Arabidopsis thaliana: one gene and its partner. The protein of the gene in region 1 purifies or fractionates together with the protein of each later gene. This does not show direct contact. Each region holds a gene or a part of one and is shown on either strand. Other genes may lie near its edges.

The links.
Region 2: the proteins of RPM1 (region 1) and CR88 purify together in Arabidopsis thaliana (affinity purification with western blotting, with the first as the bait; one study listed by BioGRID). This does not show direct contact.

The regions. Positions count from the first base shown.
Region 1 is NC_003074.8:2,223,998-2,232,482, reverse strand, and holds RPM1 (NB-ARC domain-containing disease resistance protein), read left to right. Parts: upstream 1-2,927; 5' UTR 2,928-3,458; coding exon 3,459-6,239; 3' UTR 6,240-6,628; downstream 6,629-8,485. Other genes in the region: NSN1 (GTP-binding family protein), read left to right, coding at 204-222, 346-590, 815-908, 991-1,164, 1,263-1,477, 1,572-1,836, 1,949-2,128, 2,230-2,441 and 1 more; AT3G07030 (Alba DNA/RNA-binding protein), read left to right, coding at 7,229-7,351, 7,649-7,729, 7,820-7,908, 7,983-8,057, 8,246-8,340, 8,439-8,485.
Region 2 is NC_003071.7:1,278,148-1,287,670, forward strand, and holds CR88 (Chaperone protein htpG family protein), read left to right. Parts: upstream 1-3,606; 5' UTR 3,607-3,835; coding exon 3,836-4,087; intron 4,088-4,195; coding exon 4,196-4,269; intron 4,270-4,354; coding exon 4,355-4,480; intron 4,481-4,570; coding exon 4,571-4,664; intron 4,665-4,754; coding exon 4,755-4,838; intron 4,839-4,925; coding exon 4,926-5,069; intron 5,070-5,151; coding exon 5,152-5,268; intron 5,269-5,350; coding exon 5,351-5,386; intron 5,387-5,499; coding exon 5,500-5,580; intron 5,581-5,657; coding exon 5,658-5,762; intron 5,763-5,857; coding exon 5,858-5,998; intron 5,999-6,089; coding exon 6,090-6,182; intron 6,183-6,271; coding exon 6,272-6,349; intron 6,350-6,427; coding exon 6,428-6,682; intron 6,683-6,764; coding exon 6,765-6,867; intron 6,868-6,948; coding exon 6,949-7,123; intron 7,124-7,218; coding exon 7,219-7,324; intron 7,325-7,404; coding exon 7,405-7,494; intron 7,495-7,573; coding exon 7,574-7,762; 3' UTR 7,763-7,997; and 1 more. UniProt on the Arabidopsis thaliana protein: Molecular chaperone required for chloroplast biogenesis. Essential for chloroplast biogenesis and maintenance, and thus for embryogenesis. May be involved in the disassembly of VIPP1 for thylakoid membrane formation and/or maintenance.

The DNA of each region.
Region 1 (8,485 bases):
CGAGCCTCTCTCACCCCAATTATTTTTTCAATATTTTTAAGTTGATTCGGGTCAACTATAACGGGTCGGGTAATGATCCAAGTACATCTAATAGCAAAACCCTAATTTGGCGCCGATATGTCCATCTTCCTTCTCCATAAACCCTTTTCTTTTAACCTACTCAGTTTTTCTGTTTGCGTCGCTCTCATCCCAGGGCGAGAAAGATGGTGAAACGGAGTAAAAGTAAGATACATCCTTCAATCATATTGATATTCTGGATCTGTCTTATTGAATGAATTTGAATCATATCATTCAGTTCAGGATTCCTACTGGGGTTTTATTGATTGGTTTGATGGTTTTTTGCAGAGAGTAAGAGTAAGAGGGTGACCTTGAAGCAGAAGCATAAGGTCCTGAAAAAGGTGAAGGAGCACCACAAGAAGAAGGCAAAGGATGCTAAAAAGCTTGGCCTTCACCGTAAGCCAAGAGTAGAGAAAGACCCAGGTATACCCAATGACTGGCCTTTCAAGGAACAAGAGCTTAAAGCCCTTGAAGTTCGACGTGCCCGTGCTCTTGAGGAGATTGAACAGAAGAAAGAAGCTCGCAAAGAAAGGGTAATCTCATTCTTTTAACATTGTAACTCACAGCTATGATACATGTTCAGATATTTAGTAATCATATAACTTTAAGTTCAGGTCGAAATTCTTAAAGCTATTTCCTTTGTGTTCTGAGTTTTGATTGATTGATAAAAGATTGCATTTTTCATGTCTTGCTGTTTGATTTACTCGTATTTTGGAGTGGTGCTTGTGTTCTGATCTCTCCTAATAAATCTATTCAGGCCAAAAAGAGGAAACTTGGTTTGGTTGATGATGAGGATACCAAGACAGAAGGAGAGACCATAGAGGACTTACCTAAAGTTGTCAATGTTCGAGGTGAGTTGTTTTGGATACCTTCTTCACGCGTTTATGTGCTTTCTCTCTGCCTTTACATGCACTAATGTCTTTTGTTTCACAGATAACTCGGAGAGGGCTTTCTACAAGGAGCTAGTTAAAGTCATTGAATTGTCTGATGTCATTTTGGAGGTTCTTGATGCCCGTGATCCTCTTGGCACTCGTTGTACTGACATGGAGAGGATGGTGATGCAAGCCGGTCCCAATAAGCATCTTGTGTTGCTGCTGAACAAGATTGGTAAGTTCATATATTCAGTCTTTACTCGTGGACGTAATAAGTTGTTTGTTTACTCTGGGTGGTGTAATTAATTTTTGTAACTGATTCACTCTCTCCAGATCTTGTTCCCCGAGAGGCTGCTGAGAAATGGCTTATGTACCTTAGGGAAGAATTTCCAGCTGTTGCCTTCAAGTGTAGCACCCAGGAACAGAGATCAAACTTGGGTTGGAAATCATCTAAGGCATCAAAACCAAGCAATATGTTGCAGACGAGTGATTGTCTTGGAGCAGACACTCTTATCAAATTGTTGAAGAACTACTCAAGAAGTCATGAGGTTGGTTCCATAGTTTAAACTTTAATCATCCTACCTTAGCATCAAGTTATATCATTCAGTTTCAATTAAATCTTCCTTTGTTGTTCTTTGGCAGTTAAAAAAATCTATCACAGTTGGTATTATTGGACTGCCTAATGTCGGCAAGAGTAGTCTTATTAACAGTCTGAAGAGAGCGCATGTTGTCAATGTTGGTGCCACTCCTGGACTGACTAGATCTCTGCAAGAGGTTCACTTGGACAAAAACGTGAAGTTGCTGGATTGTCCTGGAGTTGTGATGTTGAAATCATCAGGAAATGATGCTTCCATAGCTCTCCGAAATTGTAAAAGAATCGAGAAGTTGGATGACCCAGTTAGTCCAGGTAATTGGATATAAGCTCAAGATAGAATCACACTTATTTTTGTGCTTTGTCTTTTAAAGGTTATAATCTGAGTGACCTAACTTGGAAATCTTCTGCTTTGTGAAAAAAATAGTGAAGGAAATTCTCAAGCTTTGTCCTAAAGATATGCTGGTGACTCTCTACAAAATCCCGAGCTTCGAGGCAGTTGATGATTTCCTTTACAAAGTCGCCACTGTAAGGGGTAAACTTAAAAAGGGTGGTCTTGTGGATATTGATGCTGCTGCCAGAATTGTTTTGCATGACTGGAATGAAGGTGCGGATCTTTTTTTGTTCCTCGTAAACTTGAAGCGTAAAAGCATTTTTGAAAACCAGTTTCTTAACTCATCATTGTCTCTAATATGAATGGTTATGCAGGTAAAATCCCATACTATACAATGCCGCCAAAGAGGGACCAGGGTGGACATGCAGAGTCAAAGATTGTGACTGAGCTGGCCAAGGATTTCAACATCGATGAGGTTTACAGTGGTGAATCCTCTTTCATTGGGAGCTTGAAGACGGTTAACGAATTCAACCCTGTTATTATTCCTTCAAATGGTCCTCTCAATTTCGATGAAACTATGATCGAGGTTGGTAACTTCTCTCGTGATTCCATTTGCTTGTAAATGACTCGGTCTGGATTTAATCTTTGTTTATGATGATGTATCACAAAAAAAAAAAACAGGATGAGTCTAAGACGCAGACGGAAGAGGAGGCTGAGCATGAGAGTGATGATGATGAGTCAATGGGAGGGGAGGAGGAGGAAGAGGCAGGAAAGACGAAGGAGAAATCAGAGACGGGGAGGCAGAACGTGAAGCTATACGCAGCGGAAAGCATGTTGAATACAAAGAAACAGAAAGCAGAGAAGAAGAAGAGGAAGAAAGCAAAGAAAGCAGGAGCTGATGAGGAGGATCTGATGGACGGAGATTATGATTTCAAAGTGGATTATAGGAAGAACAAAGATGGAGAAGACGAAGAATTCCAGATTGATGCTAAAATCCCAATGGCTGGACTTTTGCCTGAAGAATGAGTGATTGGAAACCACAACGTTTTTTTTTTTTTTTTTTTTTGTATTTGGCGTTTATGAGTCGGTCGGTTAAACTTTCTGATATATGTGCTTCATGAACTAGTAGTAATACTGAAGCGATTTTGATTTCTTTAATTAACGTTTCTTCTATTCCAATTCTGCTTTGCTTAACAAATATCTTAAGAACATTCAAAAATCATTGAGGTAAGTGTACTTCTTCGCCCTTCAGAAGAAAGTAATAATCTTTTACCCTTTCAGTTTCAGGTAACGAATGACGAAAACAACACCCGAGTTCAGTACATCAGATTTCTCTGTCTCTCTCTTGGAACTTCCAAACTCGACCATATCCGTCAAATTGAATTCCAAGTTGCAAATGTGAAAGCAGTTTAAACCCGTGTTGACTTTAACGCAAGTAAAGGACGTTGACTTTGTTGAGGTCCTTAAGGATAATTGATCAAAATGTTATGTGGCAGGCATGTAAGGTGTGAACCGAAAGCTTGGCTTTGCTCAAATTCAGCAAGTTCACCAAGAGAAACTAAATCAGTGAAGGAAAAAAGGTTCAAGCGAGACTCTGAGGAAGATGGCTTCGGCTACTGTTGATTTTGGGATCGGACGGATTCTTAGTGTCCTGGAAAACGAGACCTTGTTATTGTCAGGAGTCCATGGTGAGATTGATAAAATGAAGAAGGAGTTGCTGATCATGAAGTCCTTTCTTGAGGATACTCATAAACATGGTGGAAATGGATCCACAACAACAACAACTCAACTCTTCCAAACTTTTGTGGCAAACACGAGAGATTTGGCTTACCAAATCGAAGACATTCTCGACGAGTTTGGCTATCACATCCACGGTTATCGTAGCTGCGCCAAAATTTGGCGTGCGTTTCATTTCCCGAGGTATATGTGGGCGAGGCACTCGATAGCTCAAAAGCTAGGAATGGTTAATGTCATGATTCAATCCATTTCTGATTCCATGAAAAGGTACTATCATTCAGAAAACTACCAAGCAGCATTATTACCGCCTATTGATGATGGCGATGCAAAGTGGGTGAACAACATCAGTGAGTCATCTCTTTTCTTTAGTGAAAATAGTCTTGTAGGGATTGATGCACCCAAGGGAAAGCTCATCGGACGGCTTCTAAGTCCCGAACCTCAGCGGATTGTTGTCGCGGTGGTTGGGATGGGCGGTTCAGGGAAAACTACACTCTCAGCGAATATCTTCAAGTCTCAAAGTGTGCGGAGGCATTTTGAGTCTTACGCTTGGGTTACAATCTCGAAATCTTATGTGATTGAAGATGTGTTTAGGACCATGATCAAGGAGTTTTACAAAGAAGCAGATACACAGATTCCAGCTGAATTATACTCCTTAGGCTACAGAGAGTTGGTGGAAAAACTTGTGGAGTATTTGCAGTCGAAGAGGTACATTGTTGTGCTTGATGATGTATGGACCACTGGTCTATGGAGGGAGATAAGTATTGCTTTACCAGATGGTATTTATGGAAGTCGTGTTATGATGACTACTCGGGACATGAACGTGGCTTCTTTCCCATATGGAATTGGGAGCACAAAGCACGAGATTGAGCTCTTAAAAGAAGACGAAGCTTGGGTGCTTTTCTCCAACAAAGCTTTTCCGGCAAGTCTTGAGCAATGCAGAACGCAGAATTTGGAGCCGATAGCACGAAAATTAGTCGAGAGATGTCAGGGTTTGCCATTAGCTATTGCTTCTTTGGGAAGCATGATGTCAACCAAGAAGTTTGAATCAGAATGGAAGAAAGTCTACAGTACTTTAAACTGGGAACTGAACAACAATCATGAACTCAAGATTGTTCGAAGCATTATGTTCCTTAGCTTCAATGATTTGCCATACCCGCTTAAACGTTGTTTCTTATATTGTTCTCTTTTCCCTGTGAACTATCGGATGAAAAGAAAGAGGCTCATTAGGATGTGGATGGCACAAAGGTTTGTGGAACCGATCAGAGGAGTGAAAGCAGAAGAAGTGGCTGATAGTTACCTCAATGAACTTGTTTACAGAAATATGCTTCAAGTTATCTTGTGGAATCCTTTTGGACGACCCAAGGCGTTCAAGATGCATGACGTGATATGGGAGATTGCTCTATCTGTATCCAAACTTGAGAGGTTCTGTGATGTATATAATGATGACAGTGATGGTGATGATGCTGCAGAAACAATGGAGAATTACGGTAGTCGCCATTTATGCATTCAGAAAGAGATGACACCTGATAGTATACGTGCAACAAACCTTCACTCTCTTTTGGTTTGCTCTTCTGCTAAACACAAGATGGAATTACTTCCAAGTCTGAACCTTCTGAGAGCCTTAGACCTTGAAGACTCTTCCATCAGCAAGTTACCAGATTGTTTAGTAACTATGTTCAACTTAAAGTACTTGAATTTGTCCAAGACACAGGTGAAAGAACTGCCAAAAAACTTCCATAAACTCGTCAATTTGGAGACGTTGAACACAAAGCACTCCAAGATTGAGGAACTTCCTCTAGGGATGTGGAAATTGAAGAAGTTGCGATATCTCATTACTTTTCGCCGCAATGAAGGACATGATTCCAATTGGAATTATGTTTTAGGTACAAGGGTTGTTCCTAAAATCTGGCAGTTGAAGGATTTGCAAGTCATGGACTGCTTCAACGCAGAAGATGAGCTTATCAAAAATCTCGGGTGTATGACTCAGCTCACAAGAATAAGTCTTGTCATGGTTAGGAGAGAACATGGAAGAGACTTGTGCGATTCACTGAATAAGATTAAAAGAATTCGATTCTTATCTTTAACGTCGATTGATGAAGAGGAACCGTTAGAGATAGATGACCTGATCGCAACTGCAAGCATTGAGAAGCTCTTTCTTGCTGGGAAACTGGAGAGAGTACCAAGTTGGTTCAACACTCTTCAAAACCTTACCTATTTGGGTTTGCGTGGATCTCAGCTACAGGAAAACGCCATTCTCTCTATCCAAACGCTTCCTAGATTGGTATGGCTTTCATTTTACAATGCATACATGGGACCTAGGTTGCGTTTTGCACAAGGATTTCAGAATCTGAAGATTCTAGAGATAGTTCAGATGAAACATCTGACAGAAGTTGTTATAGAAGACGGTGCAATGTTTGAGCTTCAGAAGCTTTATGTCAGGGCTTGTAGAGGGTTAGAGTACGTACCAAGAGGAATTGAGAATCTTATAAATCTTCAAGAACTGCATTTGATTCATGTTTCTAATCAGTTAGTAGAACGCATTCGCGGAGAAGGGAGTGTGGACCGGTCAAGGGTTAAACACATTCCTGCGATTAAGCATTATTTCAGAACTGATAATGGCTCTTTCTATGTGAGCCTCTCATCTTAGGCGGCCAAGGCAAGCTTCATCATACAAGATACTGCACACTGTACTGTGAAAATCAGGGATGGATATTCACATAACTACTAAACGCCATGAGCTTACCAAACAGATTGATTGTCATGTGTTGTCTTTGAAAGTCAACAATCAGGTCTTCTCTTCACTCAAAGACAACATTTTTTTGCTGGTCTCATGAGTCAGTGCTAATGACTAAACAGCTCACTTCACAGCAGTTTCCACTGTTTTTTTTCGAAATTCATTTAAGTAAGATTTAATATGGTCAGCTGATTGTTCTGTAATTCTGTGTAAACATTACTTTGTTAAGACCTTAATATTGTTGACATTGTTATTTGAGTATCGGCTTCAACCAAGAAATTCCACTACCGTGTTAGTCTTCTAAATGAAAGTGGCTCATTCACAATCCCAAAAGTTAGGACCTTTACACTAATCGAAATAACCAGATACAGTTGGACTAAATACTTAATACTACTCCAAAACATTCCATTTTAAATTTCTCCTTAACTGATGGAAAAGTTTTGAAATTTTGAAAAGAAGAAAGTAAAAAAAATCTTGTTATCAACGATCCGCGGCGGTTAAAACGGAGATTATTATTGATGGATGGATATCTGGTCATTCGTGTTATCCACGTGCAACTAACGCACGTAAAAGACATACTAACCTCCCCGAAAATCGGATCCGGATCCGAAAATATCTGACCCGTTTTGAAGCGGTTTGACGAAAGACCGTTTTGGGCCTAGTCAATAGTAAAAATTAAAAACTCAAGGCTCTTTGGTGTCCCTTGGTATTACTATCGGCCTTTCCCGATGCTCTTTCTTCTTCATCTTGAAACTCGCGATTCCTTCTTCTCCTTCTAGGGTTTATTACTAAGGGTTTCTCTATCCTTAAATCTCATCTCTGTCCTTTCTTCTTCTCCAGAGCGTCGTTCACTGTTCTCTCTCTAAAACCTAGGGTTTTCGATCTTTTCATCTTCTGGTAAAATGGATAGATACCAGAGAGTCGCTAAACCGAAACCAGAGTCTCCGATTAACGAGAATGAGATCCGTATCACCAGTAAAGGCCTTATCCGAAACTACATCAGTTATGCCACCAGTCTTCTTCAGGTACTCTCTCTCTCTCTTCTACTTTGTTTCAAGTCGTTCGCTAAAATCGTGATTCACCGTCGTATATGCTCACTGGAGTGTGTAATGTTTCATTGGACTTGTGTTTCGGCTACTCTGTTGTACGGTTTTTTTGGGTCCTTTCTCTTTTCGATCATTTTGGTTTCAAATGTGTCATCATGCACCATTTTACTTTGATTTCGTTTTTTTTTTTTTTTTTTGCATTTCTGATCCTAAAAATGACTCTATTTGCGATGTGATGTACTTGAAATAATGATGATCCGTTTCTTTTGGTTTCAGGAGAAAAGTGTTAAAGACATTGTGTTGAAGGCAATGGGGCAGGCAATCAGCAAGACTGTGGCTATCTCTGAGATACTAAAAGTCAGCGTTTTTCTTCTTATGAACTTTGTGAAGTATTTATCATCTAATTGGGATTTATACAAGTAGCTGACTTTGTAATTCATACTGCAGAATAAAATCCCAGGTTTGCATCAAGATATTGCAATCAGTTCTATTAGCATTACTGATGTCTGGGAGCCTACTGAGGAGGGTTTGTTTCCGTAAGTGTCTTGCATTACTCTGTTCTTTTCTTTTGTTTTTCTGTAACCTCAAGTGAATTGTCCATATGATGCAGGGTGGAGTTGACGCGCCATGTTTCCATGATTTCAATCACATTGTCATTGAGCGAGCTAAACAAAGATTCTCCTGGGTGAGTTATACTTTTCTTCATCCTTTTGTTGGAACTTGGGAAGTCTTGATTCATAGAGTTCGTTTGCTTTGAATAATTTTATCTCAAAAGAATCATCACAGAATCATATTTTTATGGAATTTTACTTCACATGGTATCCTCGCTTCTTAAGATATAGCTACAATATAAATGCTTATAATTGTGTTCAGGTATCAAGCTCCAGCACAGTCAGATCAGTCTAAGCCTCAATATCAGCCACAACAAGGGAGACAAGCCCGCCTACCATACAATGCTTATGGTGAAGGTAATGCCTTAAACTTTCTTGACGATTTAAATCTGTCAATGTTGGTAGGTTTTATTATAACACCTTGTGATTAATTGGAATGTAGATTCGTATGGGAGAGGGAGAGGTCGTGGCAGAGGGAGAAGCAGGGGAAGAGGTGGATATG
Region 2 (9,523 bases), on another chromosome or scaffold:
CTACTACAATGTAAACTTTTTGGCCCAAATCCAGATTTCTCACATATATATAACTTTTGTTTTTAAGATGAATTTGAACTTGAGTTAGTTTCTTCAAAGCTTTCCCCAATTTTTCCTTACCACTAGCCCACAACTGTTTCTTATATGGTATATCGTGTTTTTATTTTTTCAGTTTGTACTTTCGTCAAGCCTAAAGTCGTAAAATATAAATGAAGTTGTGATTTGTGAATACTTTCTAACAAGTAGGGAAATGTATTAAAAGTGGAATTTTAAGAGATTTGTGTAGAATCTATTTATGGACCTTTAGCAAAAAACAACCAAACAATGATCTGTTTATGGGTTCGAAATGGTAATAGTAGAATGAGTATAGCTCACAACGAGAATAAACGTAGATAGTCCAGTCCGAACCTAATATAAACAAAATTTGAGTAGTGAATATGATGCGAATATAACTATTAGATTTTCACTAATTTTATAACCTTTGGAATAGTCGAACTTTTATTGATTAAACTTGTATCAGTATACAAAGTTAAAATTATATTTTTTAAAGTTGTATTTCTACTGCTCTATACACCATATGTATTGTTCAAATAATTTATAAGGTAATAAATGTTAAGACCTAGGAGATCAAAAGACTCAAACTATGTCAACAACAATTCTTTTCTTCCCATGATTTTTTAAAAAGTTATATTCAAGTATTCTCGCAAATTGATAAAACAAAGGGAGACTAGTCTGCATAGATGCTCGAGTTTGCACATGTTTCTCTATTTTGTGGAAAGTAATTTGTTAATCTCAATGCCCTAATTTCTATTTATGTTTTGTTAAACTACTAGATATCTCATAATCCTTCGTTTTTCACAAAGAGTCCTCGGTACTAAAAAAATGAACTTTATATTGTACGGACAACATAGAAGAAGAATAAGCTGAAATTAGTTACCTTTTTTTCTCTGACAAAATGAACTTTATAAACAATACATAATTCATCTCTCTTAAATTTCCAAAATCTAAGAGATCCGTTTTATTCTAAACTTTGATTTATAATTTAAGAGATTTAAAGTTTGATCAATTTTTTTTTGTTGCGTCTAAAAATCTCTAAACATCGAAGGATGGAGACTGAATTGTGGTCCGTTAAAAATTGGTATTTGTAAACAAGAAAACAACATTACGTAAATTGTAATTCATAAATTTGCGTGCTTTGTGCTTGTCTACCTCCACACCGGCTTACGATGAACCACACTCTTTTTAATATTCAAGACTTCTATATAATCATTATATCGTATATTCATATATATATATATATATATATTATATAAATAAATATTCTTTTCTGTTTTCTGTGTTACTAACTTTTATTATATAGAGAGAGATATTCAATTATACCCAATACAAGCCTATATAATTATCAAAATTAAGTGGTTTTTTATTTACCAATTTGAATTCTCTAGATATCTTACATACGAGGATGTGCTTTTAGTCAAATGGACTTAACCATTTGATTCCGCCTTCTCCACCGGAATTCGATTTCACTAAGTTGCGTTATCCCGCAATCCCGCATAGTAGGGATTGAGTATTGATCGGGTCTTGTCGATACAAAGATGTAAAAAAAAAAATTTTACATAGTCTTTTTTTTCTGTTCTTATTCTTTTTTTTGGGGGTAAATATCTGTTATTGAACATTATAATTCAAACACTTCCAAAACTTTTTTTACCTTGTTCTGATATTGATGCAGCGTATCTTGAAGACAAATGCTCCTCCGGTATTCATCACGTCCGAGGAGATTGTTTATTGCTTTACTTTTGGGTTTAGTTTCATATGGACTTAATTAATGTATATTTGGGCTTTGAATATTTGATATTAGTTTGCTTATTCTTTAGGCTAGGGTTTCCATTCTTTTTCTCTTATTTTAAGAGATGTAATTCATTATTGTAATTAGTTTTTGATTATTGAATAAACGAGTTTTAAGAGAGCTTGTCTAAAGCCTAGAGAGGAGGACTCTCAACCCTAAAAGCTTGTGTTCAAGCCCTGCAAGGAGGATTTGCAAAACCTCATCGATATCGTTATCGATCTCGACCTTATCTCTATTGCTTCTTCATCAAGTTTCGGCGTTCTAAACAAAATCCGTTCGTTAATCCGAGTTCTCATAGAGATTTTGTGTTTTCGTCCGTTATTTAGCTTCCGCTCTCCATCAGATATTACTTTTGTTCAGTAGACCATTCATAAATACCTGCCTTGGATCCAAAAATAGGACAAATAAACATCATTTGCATCATTTTATTATTCTTAAAAGAAATTGCAAATTTTTGACCAAATTGCAAATATTTTGTTTTTAGGTTATACCCAATACCCACATACTGTATTATAGTCGTAATAAAAAAAGGAAAAGTTGCAAAATAAGTAGAGGACAGTGAGAAGTTGGTAACTATATATGTTTTGGTTAATTTAGTTATGGGTATGGAGTCTATAACGTATGGTTTCGATATTTCCAATAATTAGCAATCGTGTATCTTCGTTAGCATCAACATTGTTGTATTTTATTTAGTGCACACCTTCTCATAATTTCTAAATCAATAAAATTTTAATATCATTTTATCTTGGTATATGTCACTATGTATGTGGTTATTTTTATGCTTCCATGTTTTTATTTTTTTTGCCATGGAACCATTAGCTTAGGTTGAAAATCATCGATTGTAAACCTATCATGTTTTCATTTTTATGAAATATTAGGTGATCATCCGCGCTACACCACGGTTTTTTCGGATGTTTTTGTATTGTTTAATTTAAATATAATTTTTATTTATCTTATCATTTACTCATGCAATAAGCAATTACATTTAGTATTAAAATATTTTTTTCTAACCACATTCTCAACAATGCATCATACACATAATTTCTAAACAATGTTTATCTTAAACCAATTTAACAGAGGGTAGTGTTGGATTCTATAAACCTAAGAATTTAATGATGGAGCTCCTTACATATTCTTCACCCTCAGTTATTTATTATATAAATATCAATTTAAGAGAATATAAACATCAATTTAAGAGAATATAAACATCAATTTAAGAGAATAACTTAGTTAAATTATTAAGTAATATACTCATACTTTGAGTTTGGATTACCATAAAAATCTTCGAGTATGAGAAAACTATTAAAATGATTTTATTAAAAAATCATGTGATATTAAAATAAATTTAGTAAAAGTACAATTAAATATGTATAATAAAATAATATGTAAAATTAAATATAAATATATCATTAAACTATAGATTTGAAATTGAAGAGATTACATTAATTATTTAATAAACACATGTCAAATGCTAAAGTGATGATGTGTCTATCATATGAAGAGAGTTGGCCAACTTTCATATATATAATTTACGAAAAAAAAAAAAAAAAACAAATATTCAAGATCTCTTTCTTGATATGGGCCAATTTGATACGAAACATTTTCCAGCCATAACCTTTCGTTTTACTTTATACGGGCTATAGGCCCATTATGGGTTAACGTGTAGGCCCAATAAGGTGTTTTTTCAATTTGGTTTGCATTTGGTGTGTGTGTGTGTGTCAGCTACAATTTCTCAAGGAGAGGCGCGTGTAAATCAAACGGATAATCCTACGGTTTTGATGAAATGGCTTCTCGTAGACCTCACAATCTCTAAACATCTCTTCTCTTTATACGCTCTTCTTCTAGAAACCTCTCTTACCTCACTCTCCTTAAACCTTTAATAGGGTTTTTAGGTTACTCTTTGTTCAACTACTACAAACTCTTTTCTCTTTAGAGATTGAGAGATTGTAAAAAAATCTCAAATCTTTTCCTTCACAACTTTCAAATCTAATGGCTCCTGCTTTGAGTAGAAGTCTCTACACATCTCCTTTGACTTCAGTTCCAATCACTCCTGTCTCTTCTCGTCTCTCTCATCTGAGAAGCTCGTTTCTCCCACACGGCGGCGCTTTAAGAACCGGCGTTTCGTGTAGCTGGAATCTCGAAAAGAGATGTAACCGATTCGCCGTGAAGTGTGACGCCGCCGTGGCGGAGAAAGAGACCACTGAAGAAGGGTCAGGTGAGAAGTTTGAGTACCAAGCTGAGGTGGGTTCTCTTTCATATCTCCTAAAGTTTCAATCTTGTTTTCTGGGTATCTCTCAACTTGATGGGGATATAAAGTTTTAAGATTTGATTGTTGAAATCTTATCACAGGTTAGTAGATTGTTGGATTTGATTGTTCATAGCTTATACAGTCACAAGGAGGTGTTTCTCAGGGAGCTTGTAAGGTGAGTCAATTTTGATGGATTGTTTTGGAAATGATTTGTGTGTTTCTGTCAAAATCTGATTTTGAATGTGTCTGTGTATGTTCAGTAATGCAAGTGATGCTTTGGATAAGCTGAGGTTCTTGAGTGTAACAGAGCCTTCTTTGCTTGGAGATGGTGGAGATCTTGAGATTAGGATTAAGCCTGATCCTGATAACGGCACCATCACCATAACGTATGAGAGACTTCTCATTTTTTGTTTTACTTAAGTATTGAAAATTGAATAGAACAGGTTTACTTAGAGAGGTTTGATGCGTATATGCAGTGATACTGGTATTGGAATGACAAAGGAAGAACTTATTGATTGCCTTGGAACTATTGCTCAAAGTGGTACTTCGAAATTCTTGAAGGCTCTAAAGGTTTTTTTTCCATCTCTTTGAAAACCTGTTGCTAGCAAATCTTTGATGTCATGTTTTCGGACTCATTGTTTTATTGCTCTCTTTATTCAGGAAAACAAGGACCTTGGTGCTGACAACGGTTTGATCGGACAGTTTGGTGTTGGGTTTTACTCTGCTTTCTTAGTTGCTGAGAAGGTGAAGACTTTCAACTTTTGTTTTTTAGTGTCTTCTGGTTAATGTATTTCTTACGAGGAATGGACGTACAATTGTCTTTGCTTTCAGGTTGTTGTGTCCACCAAAAGCCCCAAATCTGACAAGCAATATGTTTGGGAATCGGTTGCCGATAGTAGCTCGTATCTGATCAGAGAAGAAACAGACCCTGATAACATTCTACGTCGTGGAACACAAATCACCTTGTATCTGAGGGTACTTTTCTTTATTCATTCATCCTTTCATTTGATGCGTCAGATCTCTTATAGTTTGTTTGACTGCTTATTCCTGGCTGCAGGAGGATGATAAATACGAATTTGCGGAGTCTACAAGGATCAAGAACCTCGTGAAGAATTACTCTCAGTTCGTTGGGTTTCCTATCTATACATGGCAGGAGAAATCAAGGACTATAGAGGTGAGGATGAAAGTTTTGTTTTTGTAATCATATTAGTGTATTCACATTGCTAATATGGTTTAAAATTTGTAACTTGTGGTAGGTCGAAGAGGACGAACCAGTTAAGGAAGGAGAAGAGGTAAAAAAATTATGTTGTTTTAATTGTGTGTATCAACTATCAAACAGTCACAACCAAAAGACTGTTCTAGAATTTTGTTTACTGAGTTGATTTTGTTACTTGTTTGTTTCCAGGGTGAGCCAAAGAAAAAGAAGACCACTAAAACTGAGAAGTATTGGGATTGGGAACTAGCCAACGAGACCAAACCGCTATGGGTAAGCCTTGGAGCTTTAGCCTGCGTTTTGTACTTTTCTTTCAACATGTTTACTGATTATTTTGTGTCTTTGAATAGATGCGCAATTCGAAGGAAGTGGAAAAAGGAGAGTACAATGAGTTCTACAAAAAGGCTTTCAATGAGTTCTTGGATCCACTTGCTCACACACACTTCACAACTGAGGTCTTTATACTTATACACTATACACTATATTTATGTCAATTTATGAATTCTTCAATTGGTGCTTACTAGTCTCTGTATTGTCTTGATTATTAAAGGGTGAGGTTGAGTTCAGGAGCATTTTGTACATCCCTGGGATGGGTCCTCTTAACAATGAAGATGTTACAAACCCGAAAACAAAGAACATTCGTCTCTACGTGAAGCGTGTGTTTATCTCTGACGATTTTGATGGAGAGCTTGTGAGTCTTTTATGGGTTCTTTCTTATGTAGAAATCTCTTTAGATTTGTGGTTCAATTTTTATCTGACTATGTTACCTAATCTGTTTGCAGTTCCCGAGATATCTGAGCTTTGTGAAGGGAGTTGTGGACTCTGATGATCTTCCTCTTAATGTTTCTCGTGAAATTCTCCAAGAAAGCAGAATTGTGAGTGGTGCAACTGTTAGTGATACAAATGTTTATCATATATGAATATCACAAATTGTAACTGTACTATCTTTCGTGATAATGTTCAGGTAAGAATCATGAGAAAGAGGCTCATTAGAAAAACCTTTGACATGATACAAGAAATCTCTGAGAGTGAAAACAAAGAGGTAGGTATCTCATTATCCTAATTTTGTTTTGAGCTCATTTGAAAGCCAGGGATATTCATGTTGTACAAACAATTCTAGGATTACAAGAAATTCTGGGAGAACTTTGGTAGATTCCTTAAATTGGGTTGTATTGAAGACACCGGTAACCACAAGCGTATCACACCGCTACTTAGATTCTTCAGTTCCAAGAATGAAGAGGAATTGACAAGCTTGGATGATTATATCGAGAACATGGGAGAGAACCAAAAGGCGATCTACTACCTCGCAACTGATAGTCTTAAAAGTGCCAAGTCTGCCCCTTTCTTGGAGAAACTAATCCAAAAAGATATCGAGGTATATGCTTCAAGACTTGTTTTTCAACTTCGAGTTTCTGTTTAGATTTGACTTTCTCACCACTTGCTTTTGTTAATTATAGGTTCTATATTTGGTTGAACCAATCGATGAAGTTGCTATTCAGAATTTGCAAACCTACAAAGAAAAGAAATTCGTTGATATCAGTAAAGAAGATTTGGAACTCGGTAAGTATGGTTTAGCACTGCTGACTGCCCGCACATTTCTCTCAACCATTTGTTTGTAACAAAACGTGTCCATTCTCGCAGGAGATGAAGATGAAGTAAAGGACAGGGAAGCGAAACAAGAGTTTAACCTTCTCTGTGACTGGATAAAACAGCAGCTCGGTGACAAAGTTGCAAAAGTCCAAGTCTCAAACCGTTTGAGCTCTTCTCCTTGTGTGCTTGTCTCTGGCAAATTCGGGTGGTCAGCTAATATGGAAAGGTTAGTACTTCAGCAAAAGCTTTATAACCTGAAATCCACATACCATAAAACTTATGTGCTTGTTCATTGACTTATGTGCTTATTCATTGTGAAAGGCTAATGAAGGCACAGGCTCTTGGAGACACTTCAAGCCTGGAGTTCATGAGAGGTAGGAGAATACTAGAGATCAATCCAGATCATCCCATCATCAAAGACTTGAACGTAAGTGTGTGGTATAATATTCTCTCAGAAATCTCTTGTCTCGAAAAAGCCTTATTAATTTTTGTATTCTTTTGGTACAGGCTGCTTGTAAGAATGCACCAGAGAGCACTGAAGCAACAAGAGTGGTCGATCTCTTGTATGACACTGCTATAATATCAAGTGGATTCACTGTAAGAAATCTGAAACCTTTCTTGTTTCCCAGTAAAAGTCTTGGACCATTTTACTCACTTATATGTGTTTGTTGTACAGCCTGATAGCCCGGCCGAGCTCGGGAACAAGATATATGAGATGATGGCAATGGCGGTTGGAGGAAGATGGGGCAGAGTTGAAGAAGAAGAAGAAAGCTCGACTGTGAATGAAGGAGATGACAAAAGCGGAGAAACAGAGGTAGTTGAACCATCTGAAGTGAGGGCAGAGAGTGATCCTTGGCAAGATTGATCCTTTTTTACCTTCTTTTGTTTGCAGTGATTTTTTTTTGACAGAACGCTTTATCTTTCCATTAGCAGTATCATGGGCCTAATGAAAGCCCATAATTAAATCACGCGTGAACGAGATTTATCCAATACAGTATTTGTAGTTTTTTTTTGATAATTAAAATAATTTTAGAGAATTTACACAAAAAAAGCTTTTAACAAAAATATTTACGAATATTTGAAAAATATTTGCATTTGAGTTGTATTAAATATTCTGAATTTACATCCTCTTATTATTAAAAAGAAAATACAAATTGAAAAATAGTCTAATCTGCCATCAATTTTCAATTTTGGATTTTGTACATTATTAATCAAAATCGTCTATGGTAATTTGGTCATCACTCTATATTCCTTAAATACACTATATTTCAAATTTAAATAATATTTCTTAAACACACTATATTCAATACTTATCACCTATTTATTGTTTTTTCAAAGATTTAAAAAAACTAAATATAAAAAATCAATCTAAAATAAACCAAAAATATAGTTATTAATTTTACATATTTTTTATTAAAAATATTATGTTGGCAAACAATATTAAGAGCTCGCGAATTAATTAGTGGAGCGGATTAGAATTTACAATAATTCATAATTATGCATATGGAATAAATTATATTTAAAAATCAATATTCGATATATCAAAATATGGTACAATCACACATTTTCCGGATATTATTTAAACTAATAATCTTAACGGTCCATTAAAACTTTCCAAATCAAAATGATTTCCAAATCAATCATTTGATGGAAAATTTCTTGGTCAAAATTTAAATCAAATACCGACCTGCAATAATGGGTTAGAATTTGTATTTATTTGATAGAGAATGAGTAAAATGGAATTGTTAATGACCTTGGACATATCTAAATTTATAATTACAATACTAATTTGGACGTAACACGAGTTAAACTAAATTATATAATTCTAATACTATTTTGACAACTGTACAAATAAAAAAATCTCCCGCGGTAAACCGCAAGTTTAATCCTAGTATTATTTATTTGGTAATACTTTAGTAGAGCAATTCTGATTTTTACTTGTTTGATGTATAGAAAATGTATAAATATAAGAAAATTCTGGTTACATAAATTTTGGATTTTTATAATGTTGGAACAATCGTTAACCAAACAATTAGAAAAAAAACTAATTAATTTCCGTTGAGATAATTATACTTTCATAAAATAAAAAGGAAATTAAGAAAAAAAAGAAACTTTACTTTTCCTAATAGTAAAATTGTAACACTGTAAAACCATCAAAATCCTATTAGAAAAATAAATTACCTAACTCGCATCCTCTATAAATACAGTAGAAACTCTATAAATTAATAATGTTGGGACCATAAAATTTAATTAATTTATAGTGATATTAATTTATCCTATAAATTAATATTTATTAATTTATAGGATAAAATAATAAATATTAATTTATAGAAATATTTACGTAAAATACAATACTAAAGTCTTTTAAAAATGTTTATTAATTTAGTTTTTCTTATGTTTTGTTGTTTGTATATTCAATTCTGTTAAAAAAATTATTTTTCTCTTGACTTTTTAATTTATTTTTCTACAATATATTGTGTCCGTATATTTACGACGTTAACGTGAGGCTTAATCCAAATTTTCTTTATCCAAATCTTACCAATGATTAAAAAATGTTACAAAACCAAATATGACGGATAAAATGCGCAAAGAGTTACGTGAGTACAAAAGAGATCATACCAACGGT